2 linked regions of the Pelodiscus sinensis genome follow. The main gene of each other region encodes a partner of the protein of the gene in region 2 in a complex. Links are inferred from orthologs where the notes say so. Each region holds a gene or a part of one and is shown on either strand. Other genes may lie near its edges.

Region 1 (7,822 bases), on a different chromosome or scaffold from region 2:
ATAAGAGGTAGGAGATGACAAAGTAATATTACTTGATGAGCAACTTTCAGTAATACTTGTCAGCACACCATTTTGAAATCACAATTCATGGATGAAAGTGGTTGTTCAAATGGAGGCTTATTAGATTTTAAAAATCACAATTATTGGGCAAGGGGAAAAAATTGGGAATTTGAGAAATTATGACAAGTTGTATCCATTACTATCCCACCTAGCACCCCTCACACATTTCTGAGAAAAGCAACAGATACAGAAAAAATTTATCACCCCAGTGATTTCTTAAACAATCCAGTATGATGTACAACAGCAACCAAAAACCAAAGGTTATCTCTGACTGACCTCATAACAAGGAAATATTTAATGTTAAGGATTTTAAAGTCGGTCATTTGAATAACTGTATCCAATAACAGATGCTGTCTTGTTCATTATTCTTAGTACACCAATAGTCATCTTATTTTAAGATATAGAACCAACTAAACCACTATTAGCAGCAATTATTGAGTTTTAACTAGCTTAATTAGTCCAATGGTGAAATTAAGTTTCAGTCTGGATTCCACTGAATATAAAATCAAATTAGTTTAAGATACAAGGAAAAAATATTTCCTCAATTTGTTTATAAGCAAAAATGGCCATGCTGTCTTCAAGAACACAAATCAAAGTTGGAAATTATATAAACTGAATATATGCAGTGCAATATTTTCGACAACAAAAACAAGTCTATATTGAAGCAGAGAATAAAGTTAATCCTAGAACCACATCAAAGTATCACTTAGCTAGATAATGGCACTCCTAAAGAAACTAAATACTGAAATTAAAAATATATAATTTAAGACAACAAAACTATATTAAATTATTTTATGAGGCATAAACTAGTTCATATTCTCATTTGTATATTTCAATGGGTCTCATGACTGGACCTTCTACTAACGTGCAATTACAGAATAAGGGAGGAGATTACCCTTCCACACAAACTTGCAAAATTAAACAAAGAGGATTCAAATACCTTTAATACATTCCCACTGTCTCTTGATATCCAAGGATAAACAACTGAACACTCAACCATAACACCACTGTTTTTGTTCCTGACTGATGCTCTTACTGAAGCTAATAAGAATAATTTGGCTTCATGAAAATATGAAAAAATAAGCTCACATATCTAGTATTCAGAGACTAAATTATGATGGTTACCATAATTTAATTGTATTGAAAAGACAGGGATCTAAAGAGCTCTTGCCATTTAACTGAAGCTGATCAAGTATGACGTTCAAGTTTCACCGACCTGGTTATGATCAAAAGCAGTCCTGGTGACCTCGCTTTATAATAGAGCTAATTATTTTATATTAGTGTACAAACACCACACATCAACTCACAGGTACATTATCAATTATTAAAAAGCAAACTCATAAGGCTCTTCCTGTAAACCTAGAAATGTTTAACTTCTATATATGAGACTTCAATTAAAGTAATACAGGTGACAAAAATTAGGCATGTGTAAAAAAAAGAGTCAGTATATGGAAATACCAAGTTTTTATTTATAAAGGTCTATTTTTCAACAAATATAATTTAGTGTTAAAATATATCTTAAAATAACTTAGAATAGTTTGTGTGGAAGTACCTTACAGTATTTGTTCCAGTGGCCCCATAATAAAAGAAAAATATAAGTACTATTTAAAAACACTATAACTGTTTTTTGAAAAATCCTGCCCTCCACTCCAGAGGGGAAAGTGTGACATGTACTAACGCAATGACTGAACAGGTATTTTTCAGCTCCCACTTCTACTGTTTGCAGATCAATATAAAACAATCACCCCCTTACCGTTTCTTCTTTTCCTTCAGGGGCTCTTTGGCAGCTTTCGACTCAGTCTCTCTGTAATGAAACAAGTGAATATTTCGTCTACCTTGTAGAGGTCTCTCTGACGTGCTTCTTGCTTATTTTAACGCCTTAAAAAAATACCCGTAAATTCACGACTCTGAATACGAAAAAAAAAATTCAATTCCCCCCTCCAACTAAAACAAAAAAACAACTCCCCCCACAACCTGCCACAGAAGAGAAGAAAAACAAGTCGACAAGAAAACAGTATCCAAGCAGAAGAGCAGAGGTTCGGTGTTATCCAGTCCCAGTGCAGGAGAAACAGGTTCAATTCCAAAACAAGCTTTAGCTTTCCAGTGGAGAAAGAAAGGAAGGAAAAGAATGTCCCTAGCTAGACTTTTGCACACGAATTCTTTTTTAAATACACGTTTGCTTTCGAGCAACAACAAAAACCCACGAAATTCACGATGTGAAGCGGATGGGGAGAGTTTATTTTTTGTGTTGATGGATTCTCAGTCCAGATGGAGGAGCATCTGAGTGTTCAAAAAGTGCAAATTAAAAGGAAAAGGGGGATCCCACAAACGAGCTGAAAGAGTCCCCCCTCCAAAAATGGAGCCACAGCCGGGGATCCAAGAGTAGGAACCCAGTGAGGAGGAGGATCCAATGAAGTCTCTCTCGCAAGGGGTCCTACAATGGGGGGCGGGGGTAGAGAAAGAGATCCAGCAGTCTCTCTTGCGGTGCTCCAAGCAGGAGGATCCAGCAGTGTCTCTCTCACAGGGGGATCCAATGGGGCCAGCAGAGCGTCTCACGTAGAATCCCGAGGAGAGGGACGATCCAGCGGGCTCTGCCGCAGAGACTCTCAGTGGGGCACAGGGGGTTCCCAGGAGTCTCGCGCCCCGGGGGGGGCAGGAGGCTGAAGGAGGCAGCAAAGTCTCCCAGGGGCTGCTGCAGCGCCTCTCAGGCAGTGTCTCTCTGCGGCGGAGGAGCTGGGCTGCAGCGTCTCGCGCGCGTTCTCTCTAGCAGGCAGGCGGCGCCGGCCCCCCGCTCTTCCTAGCTGCAGCCGCCGCCGTCGCCGTCCTCAGGAGCAGAGCTGCTGCCACCGCGGCCATTTTGTTGCTAACTGACAAGAACCCCACCAGGCAGCGCGAGAGCAAAGAGAGGCCCCCCCCTCCCCTCTCTGACCTCAAACAGGAAGCCTCGGCGTTACCCCCCTCTGATCACGTGACGGGGGAAGACAAACTGCGGCATGCAAATCAATTGGGTGGCAGAGCCAATCAGCGCCGCGACTCAGTGTCTGGTTGCTCTCCTCCTAGCGCGCGAGTGGGCCCGGTCTTCCCCCGCCTCTCGCACGGGCCGGGCGCGTCCATCTTGGCCAGTCCGCTCTGCGCGGGAAGGCTCGCGGCTCTCGCCCGCGCACCTGGGCACCTCTCGCACTGCACGTGCCAGATGCGCCCGCGCGGAGGGGGCTTCGAATGCGGCACCGACCTAACGCGCGCGCTCCTTCCAGAGCCCACTGCGCCGTGCAGAGCCTGACGCTTTGCACATCAGTGCCTGGAAGCGAAGCGAAAATTGCCCAGCTAGATGCTCCCTGCAAAATGCACCGGTGCAGCTGGCACGAGTCCAACCGCTATCCACACCGAACACCAGTGCAGTGAACAAGGCTGGAAAGAAAATCGTCAATAGAAAACGTGTGGCCGGGCTGCCCACGCAGCCCCCCAGTGGCAGCGCAAACTGTACCAGGGCCAATACCTATTTTGATTCGATGTTTGCTTTACGGCAGATGGACCTGAGTGTGTCTTACTCGGGCAAAACTCGGATCGGTTAAACTGCAGTTTTGACTGAGAAAGTACTGCAGGGCCAGGACCGATTTCTAAGTTTTTTGTGAATATAAATTGTACCTGCACCTGAATTGTGGGTACAAATCTGATCACTCCTGCCTTTAACTTCCTGCAGGCGCAAATCAGTGAGGTCAATATTCAGCAAACTACCTTTGATAAAAAACATTTCTTGACTACACACAACATGTGTACCTAAAACTGATTTAGTTAAAATAATACAACCCTCAAGTGAGGACTCTTATCAAATTGGTTTAAGTGCCTTATATCAATTTATCTTAAATCAATAAGGAATAGCTTGAAGTGATGAGACCTTATAGGTTGAAAAAATTACTGGTATGCGTCAAATAAAAACATTGTTTTAAATAAAAATACAATTTTAAACGAGTCTGAATTTAGTACTTCTAATACAAAGACAATACCTTAACAAGCAGGCAGAAAAACTGTCTTTGGGTAACACTAATTAGAGCACAGGTGTTACTTTGGCCACTGGAGGGAGCCCATATTTTTCCAGAATGCAACAGAAACAGAACTTCAAAGATAAAAAATAATAAAACATAAAATATCAGATCATTATAGTTAGAACAAAGTGTGTTCTCTAGGCCAGGACAATATCTATATGTATGCAAAATGTTATAAAAATTAGATTTATGTGTACCATTTTGCTTCATAAGCACCAGAAAGCAAAACGATTAAGAACAATTTCCCTGCATTTGGAATGTCAGTCTATACCTTTCACCAGGACTTTAAATTCACATTTTTTTTCTGAAGTAATGTGATGCTGACAGACACTTGACTACAGTATTGCTGCTCTTACACATCTAGGTCTAAGCTATTTACATTTCAAAGGCAAGTAGTTTGTACTAGTGTAGCTGAGTAGATAATTCAGAGGCACTTTCCTTAACTTTTCAGTTACACAAATGTAGGTCAACACCTGCAAACTGTTGTCCCCCAACGACTCATCAAAAGCAAGTAAGGAAATTGCCAAGCTGTTATTTTCAGAGTGGATTTTGTTCAACATAAGACAACTCCTCAATACAGTGCAAACAAAACAGACATGTACCTTTATCTAAGTAAAGTTTATAATAATAACAACATCATGTCACAAATTAATTTCTGTATATATAGAGTTGTCCTCTACTGAAAAATTTGTTTTAACTATATTAAAAGGTTACTTGCTAGGTCAAATTTGTCCCTAAACTTAGTTTACAAAGCCTATTGTAAAATCTAAGATCATAAGTATTTCCCTTGATTTTTAAAATTCAAAGTATCTTTTTAAGAAGTAAATATTCCCATGCATTTGTTTTCAACACAAACACTAAAGCAAGAGACAAAGATCATGAGATCCTGAAATTGAAACTTGACTAGACAGTGACTAAAAACAAAAGTGAAACTAACAAATGTACTTTCTTCAGTCTTGACCAAGCTAAAATAAATGCAAAAAGGATTATCTAAAATACACATACCCCCTACACAGAACCAATAATGAAAAGTAAATTTGATTTTTACACAAAATGTCCATATTTTAAAGATGCTATTTGTTATGATAAAAATGCATTTGCAATTATTTCAACTACCTGTAGTTTTCTATCATTAAATACAAAGATTTTTTCAATCCAAAAATATTTTCCCTGCTTTGGTTTCTCCTGGGTCAGCCACCACTCATCATGGTTGCGCACTCTTGGAAGTCAGGCAGAGGTGTTTCGCAGGTTTAAGAACCCCATTGACTTGGCATAATCTATCTGAAAGTTGATATATAAAACTGACACACAAAGGAGCCCTCCAAGCAATTTACACATGTGGGTAAAGGTTATAATACATCTGATTTTAAAACTGGATAAGCAGTTCCTATTTCCAGGAAATTTTCAATGTTTGGACTGTGGTAGGTCAGTAAGGCTATGTCTACACTGACAACTGAAAGACAAACTTTTATCATTCAGAGGTATAAAAAAAAACCCACTGAGGGTGTGTCCATACATCACCCTTACCTCGAAATAAAGCGCTATTCTGAAATGTTCCTTTACCCTCATGCAATGAGGTTTACAGAGACATCGGAATAGTGAGCTTGTTATATTTCAATACAACAGGCTTGCTCTTAAGACGCAGAATAGCTATTCCGGGATACCGGAGGTAAACTGTAAACGTAGCCTGAAAGACAAAAGTTTTGTCATGACAAGTGCCACGATGAATGGCATATTGTCAGCAGGAGAACAAATACTGCTCATTGGAGGCAGAAGTATTTTGACAGCAAAAAAACTGACAACAGCAACTACACTGCCCAACTTTTAGGCTATGTCTAGACTGCATCCCTCTGTTGGCAGAGGGATGCAAATCAAGCACATTGAAATTGCTAATGAAACAGGGATTTAAATATCCTGTGCTTCATTAGCATAAACATGGCCACTGCTTTTTTTCTAAATGGACCTTTTTTGAAAAAATGGCAGACTAGAAGCGGATCTGTTGAAAAATAAACCCTTTTTCGAAAGATCCTGTAAACCTCATTTTTTGAGAAATACAGGATCTTTCGAAAAAGGGTTTATTTTGACAGATCTAAAATCCATTTAGAAAAAAAGCAGCAGCCATGTTTATGCTAATGAAGCACAGGATATTTAAATTCCTGCTTCATTAGCAAGATGATAGGATGACTCAGCCAAAAATGTTCAGAGTATATTTTCATCCAGAAATGGAGGACACCACCACAACATCTCACCCAAACAAACATTTCTTCAGTATGTCTCACTGTGTTAACAAGTATTTTCTGGCTCACTGATCATAATTGTCACAACCTGGAGTACTGAATGTTTCCCAGGCTGCCTGTGTCTAAGAGACAGCCAATATACTTTTTAATTTCTGTGCATTTTATTTCTATGCTGAGCACAATTAAGGAAGTTTAACATGTACCAAGATTAATTATCTAAAACTACCTAGTATTTTCTTTGCCCTAGATGAAAAAGATGTTATATGGTCTGTAGACTTGTCAGTGTTTCACCTTTCAGGCATGTTTTCATTTTGGTTGGCAAGTGTTTTGAGCTTCGTAGAAAGCTTCATAGAATTATCTTTCACGACATAAATTTCCTTCATATTGAGGACCAATATGTATTATCTTTTGTGACAAACCCTGAATGGCCTTCATCAATTTCCAAGGCATCTATTGAAATGTAGCTCTTATGTTTTAGACAGACCCTGTTTTATCCTTTCCCGCCACTGTTCGAGTATTCTCTTTGTGTCACATGAGGAAGAACGGATGTGATCCAGTTTGAAGAGAATGGGGGTCATATGATGCTCATGTTTCAGTGCTGGAACATAAAGGCATTCCTATAGATGAGACTGAATTTGCAGTGAGATGTAATCTGTGTAAACCAAGGGTGGGCAATAATTTTTGGTAGGGAGCCACTTTAAGATTTTGGAAAATGGTCAAGGGCTGCACTTTTGTGTGGAGGATGAGTGGGGTCTAGGATGAAGGCTGGGTGCAGAAGGGTGCACAGGATGTAAAAGAGAAAAAGAAAAAAGTTGCAACAGCCATGGCTACACTTACAGGGCCACTGGGACCTTTTCAGGAAACTATAGAGCAATGGCAGGTATATACTGAGCATTTTTAACTTTTTGCAAATGACATTAACGAAGAGAAGAAGTTGCCAATATTTTTAAGTGTTGTAGGGGCTAAGACCTACTCTCTGCTATACAGTTTGCTGCTCCCAGTTAAGCCAGAGACCAAATCTTACAGTAACATTAAGGAACTACCTAGTTCGTGCCCCGTGTAGCCGCGCTGCACGGGGTTCGAACCAGCGGGGTTTTAAAAATGGCGGCTCCCCGCTTATGCAAATGAAGCCCGGGAAATTCAAATCCCGGGCTTCATTTGCAAGTGCGGTATGCCTACATTACCCTCCTAGTTCGAACTAGGAGGGTAGTGTAGACATACCCTTACTTTCTTAAAACGATTTGTAAAATTGGACCTTTAAGAGTGTCTAGGATCTCACTGGCTTTCAGAAGCCTCTCTGGTTTGTTATTCTTCCCATTTTGAATATAATTTGAATTGGTAGCCAGCTACCTTCAAATATACATTCAAGAGAGCAGTAGGTGGTAAATAAGCAGAATACTTTTTAAAAAACTCTTACTGCCATTCTATTAATAATTTTTGCTGAATTAAAATGGCCACTATCACTATATATTTGGAAGAGTT
Region 2 (7,414 bases):
ATAGCACAAATCGGAGAACTGACTGTCCCAGGTTTCCTGTATCAAGCCCAAATTTCTGCTTGATACGGAGCATATCATTTAGAAAGACACTCCCCAAACCCGATTCAAACTCCAGGAGCGGGAGAACCCACTCATCAGTTGCTGCAATGGGTCAGTTGCTGCAATAGGTTAATTTTAAGAATGTTGAAGAGCAGTTATTTGGCTAATTGTGTAGTCGATGCAATGTCAGCCCAGTAGCAGCCCCTGTTCGAGGCAGTTGGGACTGCTGCTGGAGAAGCCTCTGCCCATGGCCAGCCTGAGCCACTGCGAACAGGGACTGCTTTGCAGCACCAGCCCCTGTCTGCGAGGGAACAGGGACCCAGCTCTCCACTGGGACCCCAGAGGACAGGGACTGCTGCCAGACCAGTCTCAGCCCACAGCAGCCTCCCCTACACCACCCCCCTCCTGCTGCCTCTGACAGAAGCATCAAGGAGTGGGGGAAATGAGTAGTTGAGTAATTGACTTGACTACCTAATAAGCACAGCCTTATCAGGTAGTCGAATACTCAACTCCTCGATTATATCCCTAGTTAATTTCCCTCCCTGGTCCAAAGCTGTGACTTGTTTCTAGTGTGAATTAATCTCACTGCAGCTCCCCAGCACTGAGTCACCCTCAGAGAGCTCTCTCCCCACAATAGAGACCAGGATCAAGTCACCTTTTCATGGTCTCTTGGATTACTCCAAACCCAGCCCCAATGCAGATTTTAAAATTGCATTTCTGCCTCTCAGGGCAGCGAGATGACAACACTGAAATGCAGCATCTAAAGCTGGGAGACCAAGATCCCAGGTCTAAGCCCAGCCCTGCAGCAGAGCCCTGGTGACCATGTCTCCCAAGCTGTATTGAGGGAACAGACTTAGTAAACCACAGTCACTCTATCAAGCTGGCAGTTTTCAGGTGCCCCATTGGGGTCTAGTGGTTACACCCCTTTGACCAAGCATTCCTAGTAGTGAGTAATGTGACAGATGGCAGCAAAGCAGAGGCGGAGCGCACACAGGCTCTCATACTAGCCAGGACTTCATCTGGACCTCAGGATGACCAATGGGGAGCAGCCTGTAAGCTCTTCCAGCACAGGTTTGTATAGCACTTGTCCCAGAGGAAGCAACACCACTGCACTGGTATGCCAGGGTTCTCTCCCCAGCTCCGCCACCATCTGATTGCTTTCCCTTCACTGTGCTTCAGTTTGCCCTCACAACGTTAGGCCAAGCTATACAGGGTTCCTTGCATGCGAGGAGCCCCCTGCACAAAGGGCAGCCCCTGAGCTCACCCAGCAGGGGCCTGTGCACCACCTGGCACAACTGGGGGGCCCCTTGAGCTCAGTTGGCAGGAGGAGGCTATGCAGCACAGCTGTAATACAGGGCTCCCCCAAATCCCTGTTATTGTTATAATACAGCCAATGAATTCTGCACCTACTCTTATGCCAAGATATTTTATGCAGCGCCACATTTGTTTTCATGCTTTACACCCGCAACTCATTTTTCTGAAAGTCAGCCATGCCAGTGTTGTATAGCTCAGAAAGTTTCCTGCTGCCCTGAGCATCTACAAACTCGCTTGGGTACCTAGCCCCAGTGCAGAATAGAGCAGACACTTGAGTGGTGGGCAGAGACCCCAAGGGACCATTGTGAATATCTACTCTGACTCTCTGAAGGCAGACCCAAAGCAGGGTTTTCAGGAATACAGCCTGGAGAGTACACTCCAAAACCTTAGTATGTTGTCCCAATGAGTCATTACCCACCATGTCAAAAACGAACACCTTATTTCCAACAAGACCGTTCCCCCAGTTGGTCTTCCCAAGAACAACTTGTTCATACGTAAACTCCTTTGCCAGCTAAAAGTGTCTTTCATTCCCTCAGACAACAGCCACATCAGTGCCTAGCACAACAGGGGCCGACCCCTGATCTCATCTGGGTGGGTGGGGGTGTGCCTATGCAACATGTGGCACAACCAGGGACCACAATCTCAGTGCGACACCCAGCAAAACAGGGGACGTGATGTTTGATGTAACAGGCTTGGGGCTTTTCAATTCCATTGGCATCTCAATTCTTTCAGTAAATCCCTGCAACTATAGGTGAGACCTAGAAATTCATGCAAGAGCAAGGAGCCAACACATATCTAGGCAAAAAGGCAGAGGCTGGCTAGACTGCCAGTTGTGCAGAAGGGCAGCAAGACAACCAGCACCCACGACACACGTCCCTGCAATGGAAGGTAGCTAGAGAAATACCCCACACACACAGCCTGGGAAAGGGAGCCTGAACAACAAGAAACAAGGGGGCTTCTGAGGCCCCCCACAACGAGTCCCTCCCCCCAATTTGTCCACCAGCCCTGGAATGGGAAAGTGGGGTAACAAGAAAAGTTTGACACAGCAATGTCTGGGCCAATTCTACAGCCACAGTCAGGAAAGGGGACCAACCCAGAAGATCAATGCACATCCCTGGGCAGAGGGGAACCAATGCACAGCACTTGGGGGGCAGAGGCGCATCCTTGAGGGAAGGGGGCAGGCAGGGGTCTGCACAGCATCCGCAAGGAGGCAGCCCCACCCCTAGCACTCCACTTCCAGGAACATTTGCGTAGGAGGGGGGTGAGCCGGGACAGCACCCCCACACCCGAGGGCTGGCACCAAACACCCCTCAGCCGATTCCCCCAAGGGTTCCCCCTTCCCTGCCCTCCCGATGGCACCCCACTGTCCGCCTCCCAGGGCTTTGCGGGCATGTCGAGGAGGGGCCGCCCCAACCCCTCCGCGGGGCCCGGCCCGGGATTTCTAGGGCCCCCTCCCCACGGTATCTCCATAGCGACGGGCCGGGTAAGGAAGGGCCCCGTGTCTCACCGCGGCGCCCAGCGGGGGGCGGGGCCTGGCGCGGAGGGGGCGGGGCCTAGCCGCGCGCGCGGCAGGAAGGCGGGGGGGGGACTCCGGGTCTCTCGCCGCCGCCGCCGCCTATCGCCGCTTGTTTGTGTTTGTACCAAGATGGCGGCACGGAGCCCCGTCACGTGACGAGGGAACGCGGAGGGGGAGCTCAAGGGCCCACGTGACACAGGAGCTCGGCCGCAGGAGGAGGGTGTCACGTGATGGGGTGGAGCCCGCAGAGGAGGGGGAAGCGCGGGAGCCACATGACAGGGGAGAAGCCAAATTGCCGCCCGGCTCGCGTGACCCCGCGCTTCGCTATGGCCGCGCGCGTATCTCTCCTTCCCCACCCCCTCCCGGCGCCACCATAGTCCTGCGCAGGGAGGCTAAAGCAGCCCCCGCGCCACAGCGTCACGTGACGGACGACGGCCTTGGCCCGACGTACTACCCAGGTCACGCGTTCGGGTCACGTGACGATCCCTTCACAAAACGATGGACCCCCTCCTTAGAAGACGGTGACGTCACCACTCTCCCGAACTGTGAGGTCACCAGTCGGCTTTACCACCAAGACCTGTGGTGCAATTGTCACACACTGTGTCCATGTGATGTCACTACGAGCCCTATGACATCATCAATCTCACGTGATGTCATCACATGGCTTTCTGCTGTCACTGTCCTGCCCTGTGATCTCATCTGCACCATGTCATTGCTTCACCAGATAACGTCTCCAGAAGGCAGTGTGATGTCCTTGTGTCACCTTGCGATGTCAACCCCAGCCCTGTGTTGTCACTATCTCAGCAGCTGCCATTGTGTCACGCTGCCTCAGTAAATAGGGTTACCAGATGGCTTAACAAAAAATACTGAACACCCCCCCCCAAAAAAATAAAACACCAGGGAAAAATTCTATTGAGAAAAAAAAGGGGGAGACCAAAGTTGTTGAGCAAAAAAATTTTTTTTTAATTAAAAAAAAAGTGTGACCCCTTTAAGAAATTCTTTTGAGGCTTTTTGGCCCTAATAGGCTGCTGGCGGCCACCCACCATCTTGTCTTCCTGCTCCGGGCCGGACAGCTCCCCTGCGGAACCTGGTAAGCACCTGGGATTTTCGCCTTCTGTCCGGGAAAAAAAAATCAGAAAATACCAGACATTTTAGGTGTCTGGTATTTTCTGAATTTTTTTACTGGACAGGAGGTGAAAATACCGGACGGTCCGTGTCAATACCGGACACCTGGCAACCCTATCAGTAAAAAGTGCCACCACCTGGCCCCGCTGCCTAGGTCACTATCTCAGGACACTGAGTTATTCCTCAGTCTACCATAGCCCCACATACTCCTCCTGGCAACTCCTGATGGTGCATGATGATATTGTGGCATTATGCTGCAATGTGAGACTATGATGTCACCAAATGCAGCCACAAAGTCACTGGGGTGTCCAGTGACCAAACACAGCTTCCAGCATATCAACAGCAGAAGGCCCTGATGTCAAACACAATGCTGAGAGGTTACATCTACCCTACGATATCATCAACGGAAAAACATCATCCCACAGTGCACCTGTGACAACACAAGACCATGTTGTCATTGTGTAGGAACATGATGGCATCATCTCACATCCAGGCACCACGATGACCATCATGACTGTGGCTGGAGTCTCTTTGCCTGCTTGCAGAATCAACTAGCTTGTTACATCACATCTCCACATTCAGGAGAGAGAACCCAGGAGTCTGCCTCCCTGTTCTACCCACCAGCCTCCACTCCCCACTCAGAGCTGGACAGAAAACCCAGGAGTCCTGGCTCCCAAGCCCACAGCTCTAACCGTCCAGCCCCCTAGAAAGATGTAGAAAGGAGGAATAATAAACACCGACAAAAAATGTAACTGGATCTTTACTGGGTGATTTTGAGTGGAGCTGCCAAAAGTTACTCACATTATTCAGTGAGGGCAGAAAATGGAGGTTTAATAATTTAGGGGTTGCTGGAATGGCCAGGGCTATTGTAGCTGGAGTGCAAGAGAAACAGAGAGGGGCTAAGTGGTAGCTCCCCCTGCCCTGTCCCCCATGGGCTCCAGAGGAATGTGGAATCAGGAGTAGGCCGCATGTTCCAGTCCCTGCTAGGCTGAGGATCCATTGGGATCGGGGTCTCCTTCGACTTGCCCCTCATCATGGGGCTGGCGCTTGGCGAAAGTGCCCTTGACTGATCCCTCCACAGCGGCTTTGAGCTGGTTGGGGGACAGAGGCAGCACGTCAGGGACACACCCCACACCATCACCTCTCAGCCCCCAAATCCCTGAACCCCCTCATTTCCCATAACCCCCACCTGCTGCCCCGGCTCCTTCCTTGAATTTCTTGAACCCCAAAGACTCTCCCTGACCCAGTAGACCCTGCAACCTGCCCCCTATGTTCCTCATGAGCTCCCTGACCTCTCCAGGATCCATGCAACAGCCCTGTGCTCCCCACCCCATGCCCCCCTGTGCCTCCCACCCTTCAGCCCTACCTCTCGGAGGCTGACCACACCAACCAGCTGGCCCATGTTGGTGACGTATGCTGTCCGCAGTCCCAGCAGGTTAAAGAGGTCATAACACTGTGGAGCAGAAATGGGTGTGTGCATGTCAGGAGACAAACTGAGGAGGGGAGGATGGATCAAAATAGGGTAGGGTTAGGGATCAGCCCTCACTGAGACTGCAGGACAGTGGGGCTGGGGGGGGGGGGGGCTCTTGGCAGCAGGTGGCACATTATCAGGGGGTGACAATGTGGGGATTCTATTCGCTCTGTTCACTTTGTTATGTTGCATGTGATTTCCATTGTCCTGTACTGTTCTGTAGTAACTCTGTGTGTGCATGCTTCAGTTTCTCTAGGCACTGCACCAGTGCCCCGATGGAGATGGGAATTTTGGGTGTGACTCTCACTGAGGGGAGGCTGCCCCAGGCTGCCCAGGCAAGCACATTCACAATGGCCAAGAGTCCCTGGAACATGAGGTGAAAACAAGGGACACCTTTTGCCTGAGAAGCTGGACAAAGGAGGAAGTGGGACTGCCAGTAAGGCAGGGACCAGTAGCTAAGTGTGTGAATTAGTCTCTGCTGGCTTAAGAGACAGGGAGGGGACCCAGGGCCCTGGCTCTGGGCCTCCCTCTCCCTAAGACAAATTGTATTGGCTGCTTCTGGTTCCTGGGGTAACAAGTCTGTTTTACAATGTGTCCCTGTGAACTAATACATTATCTGTTCTACCTGCTGGCGGAGAGTCATGTCTGGCTGCGGATGGGGATTCAGGGCCCAGTGGCTCCCTGTACCTCAGTGATGGGGAGGGGGGCAGGGGGGAGAGGACCAAAATGACATGCAAATGAGTATTGCTTATTGAGTATGCAAATAAGTCTCCACTTATACTGTTCATATGCAAATGAGCAAGCAACTCAAATGTGCAGACAGTGCTCATTTGCATATGCAAATGCACAACCCCTCCCACCTAAGTTTCCAGTAAGCTGCATGGCTGCATGATGGCATAGCTGTTTTCTGAGCTCTGCTCAGAAGTTTAAAGCTCTCATGCAGGCAAGAAGCTCAGCTGACCGGCAGGGGAAATATGTCATCTTGCTGAGCAAACAGTTAAACTGGGCTGTTCCATGCTTGAAATGGAGCAGCTCCCAGAGCAGGTAATAAAAAGTGAGATAAGGAGACAATAAGTGACTGGGGGGGGGGAGTGAGTGAGTGGGTGGGTGGGTGGGTAATTGGCTGAAGTGGAGTCAGAGCAGAGGAAAGTTTGGAGAGTCCAATCCGCCCCAGGAGAGAAAGGCAGGAACTCAGCACTCTCAAGCCTCCTGAGAAAGGAGATATGGGGCTGGCTGCATAAGATGAGTGTTTGTACCAGAATACTTGCATGGCTATGTCTAGACTGGCATGATTTTCCACAAATGCTATTAACGGAAACGTTTTTCCGTTAAAAGCATTTGCGGAAAAGAGCGTCTAGATTGGCACGGACGCTTTTCCGCAAAAGCACTTTTTGTGGAAAAGCGTCCATGCCAATCTATATGTGGTTTTGCACAAGAAAGCCCCGATCGCCATTTTCGCCATAGGGGCTTTTTTGTGCAAAACAGTTTTTAGCTGTCTACACTGGCCCTCTTGCACAAAAACATTTCTGGAAAAGGGCTTTTGCCCGAACGGGAACGTCAAAGCATTTGCGCAAGAAGCACTGATTTCGGACAGTAGAACATCAGTGCTTTTGCGCAAAATCAAGCAGCCAGTGTAGACAGCTGGCAAGTTTTTGCGCAAAAGCAAGTGCTTTTGCGGAAAAACTTGCCAGTCTAGATGCAGCCGCATGAGTACATTTCAAACAAAGTTTACCTAGGTGTTAATGGCTTAAGGTAAGAATAAAAAAATCTATTAAAATATTTTATAAGTGTTGCATATATCTAAAACTCTGAATTTAATTATTTTTTTAAATCCTGTGTTGCTAATTAATACATGAAAAATTGTATTGCATTAAGGCCAGATCTTTGCTATGTGGTAGAGTTCTGGAAGATCGCATCTTCCCATCCTGATTGCATATGCAAACTGACAT

Evidence for each region. Proteins that work in one complex are often made in the same cells at the same time.
Region 1: the proteins of GIGYF1 (region 2) and TNRC6C are in contact, whole or in part, in a crystal structure (PDB 7RUQ), measured with the Homo sapiens proteins. The link is inferred for Pelodiscus sinensis from reciprocal best matches to the Homo sapiens genes GIGYF1 and TNRC6C. Residues at the interface, in NP_001362694.1 of Homo sapiens: Tyr479, Asp481, Pro482, Gln487, Phe490, Trp498, Tyr503, Phe504, Leu508; in NP_001136112.2 of Homo sapiens: Arg1719, Pro1720, Pro1721, Pro1722, Gly1723, Leu1724, Thr1725.

What each region holds. Positions count from the first base shown.
Region 1 is NC_134730.1:7,745,503-7,753,324, reverse strand, and holds the start of TNRC6C (trinucleotide repeat-containing gene 6C protein), read right to left. Parts: upstream 3,018-7,822; 5' UTR 2,035-3,017; exon of another isoform or gene 1,865-2,034; 5' UTR 1,814-1,864; intron 1-1,813. UniProt on the Homo sapiens protein: Plays a role in RNA-mediated gene silencing by micro-RNAs (miRNAs). Required for miRNA-dependent translational repression of complementary mRNAs by argonaute family proteins.
Region 2 is NC_134734.1:8,963,756-8,971,169, reverse strand, and holds the start of GIGYF1 (GRB10-interacting GYF protein 1), read right to left. Parts: upstream 3,008-7,414; 5' UTR 2,861-3,007; intron 1-2,860. Other genes in the region: chloride channel protein ClC-Kb-like, read right to left, coding at 4,978-5,085, 5,361-5,447. UniProt on the Homo sapiens protein: May act cooperatively with GRB10 to regulate tyrosine kinase receptor signaling. May increase IGF1 receptor phosphorylation under IGF1 stimulation as well as phosphorylation of IRS1 and SHC1.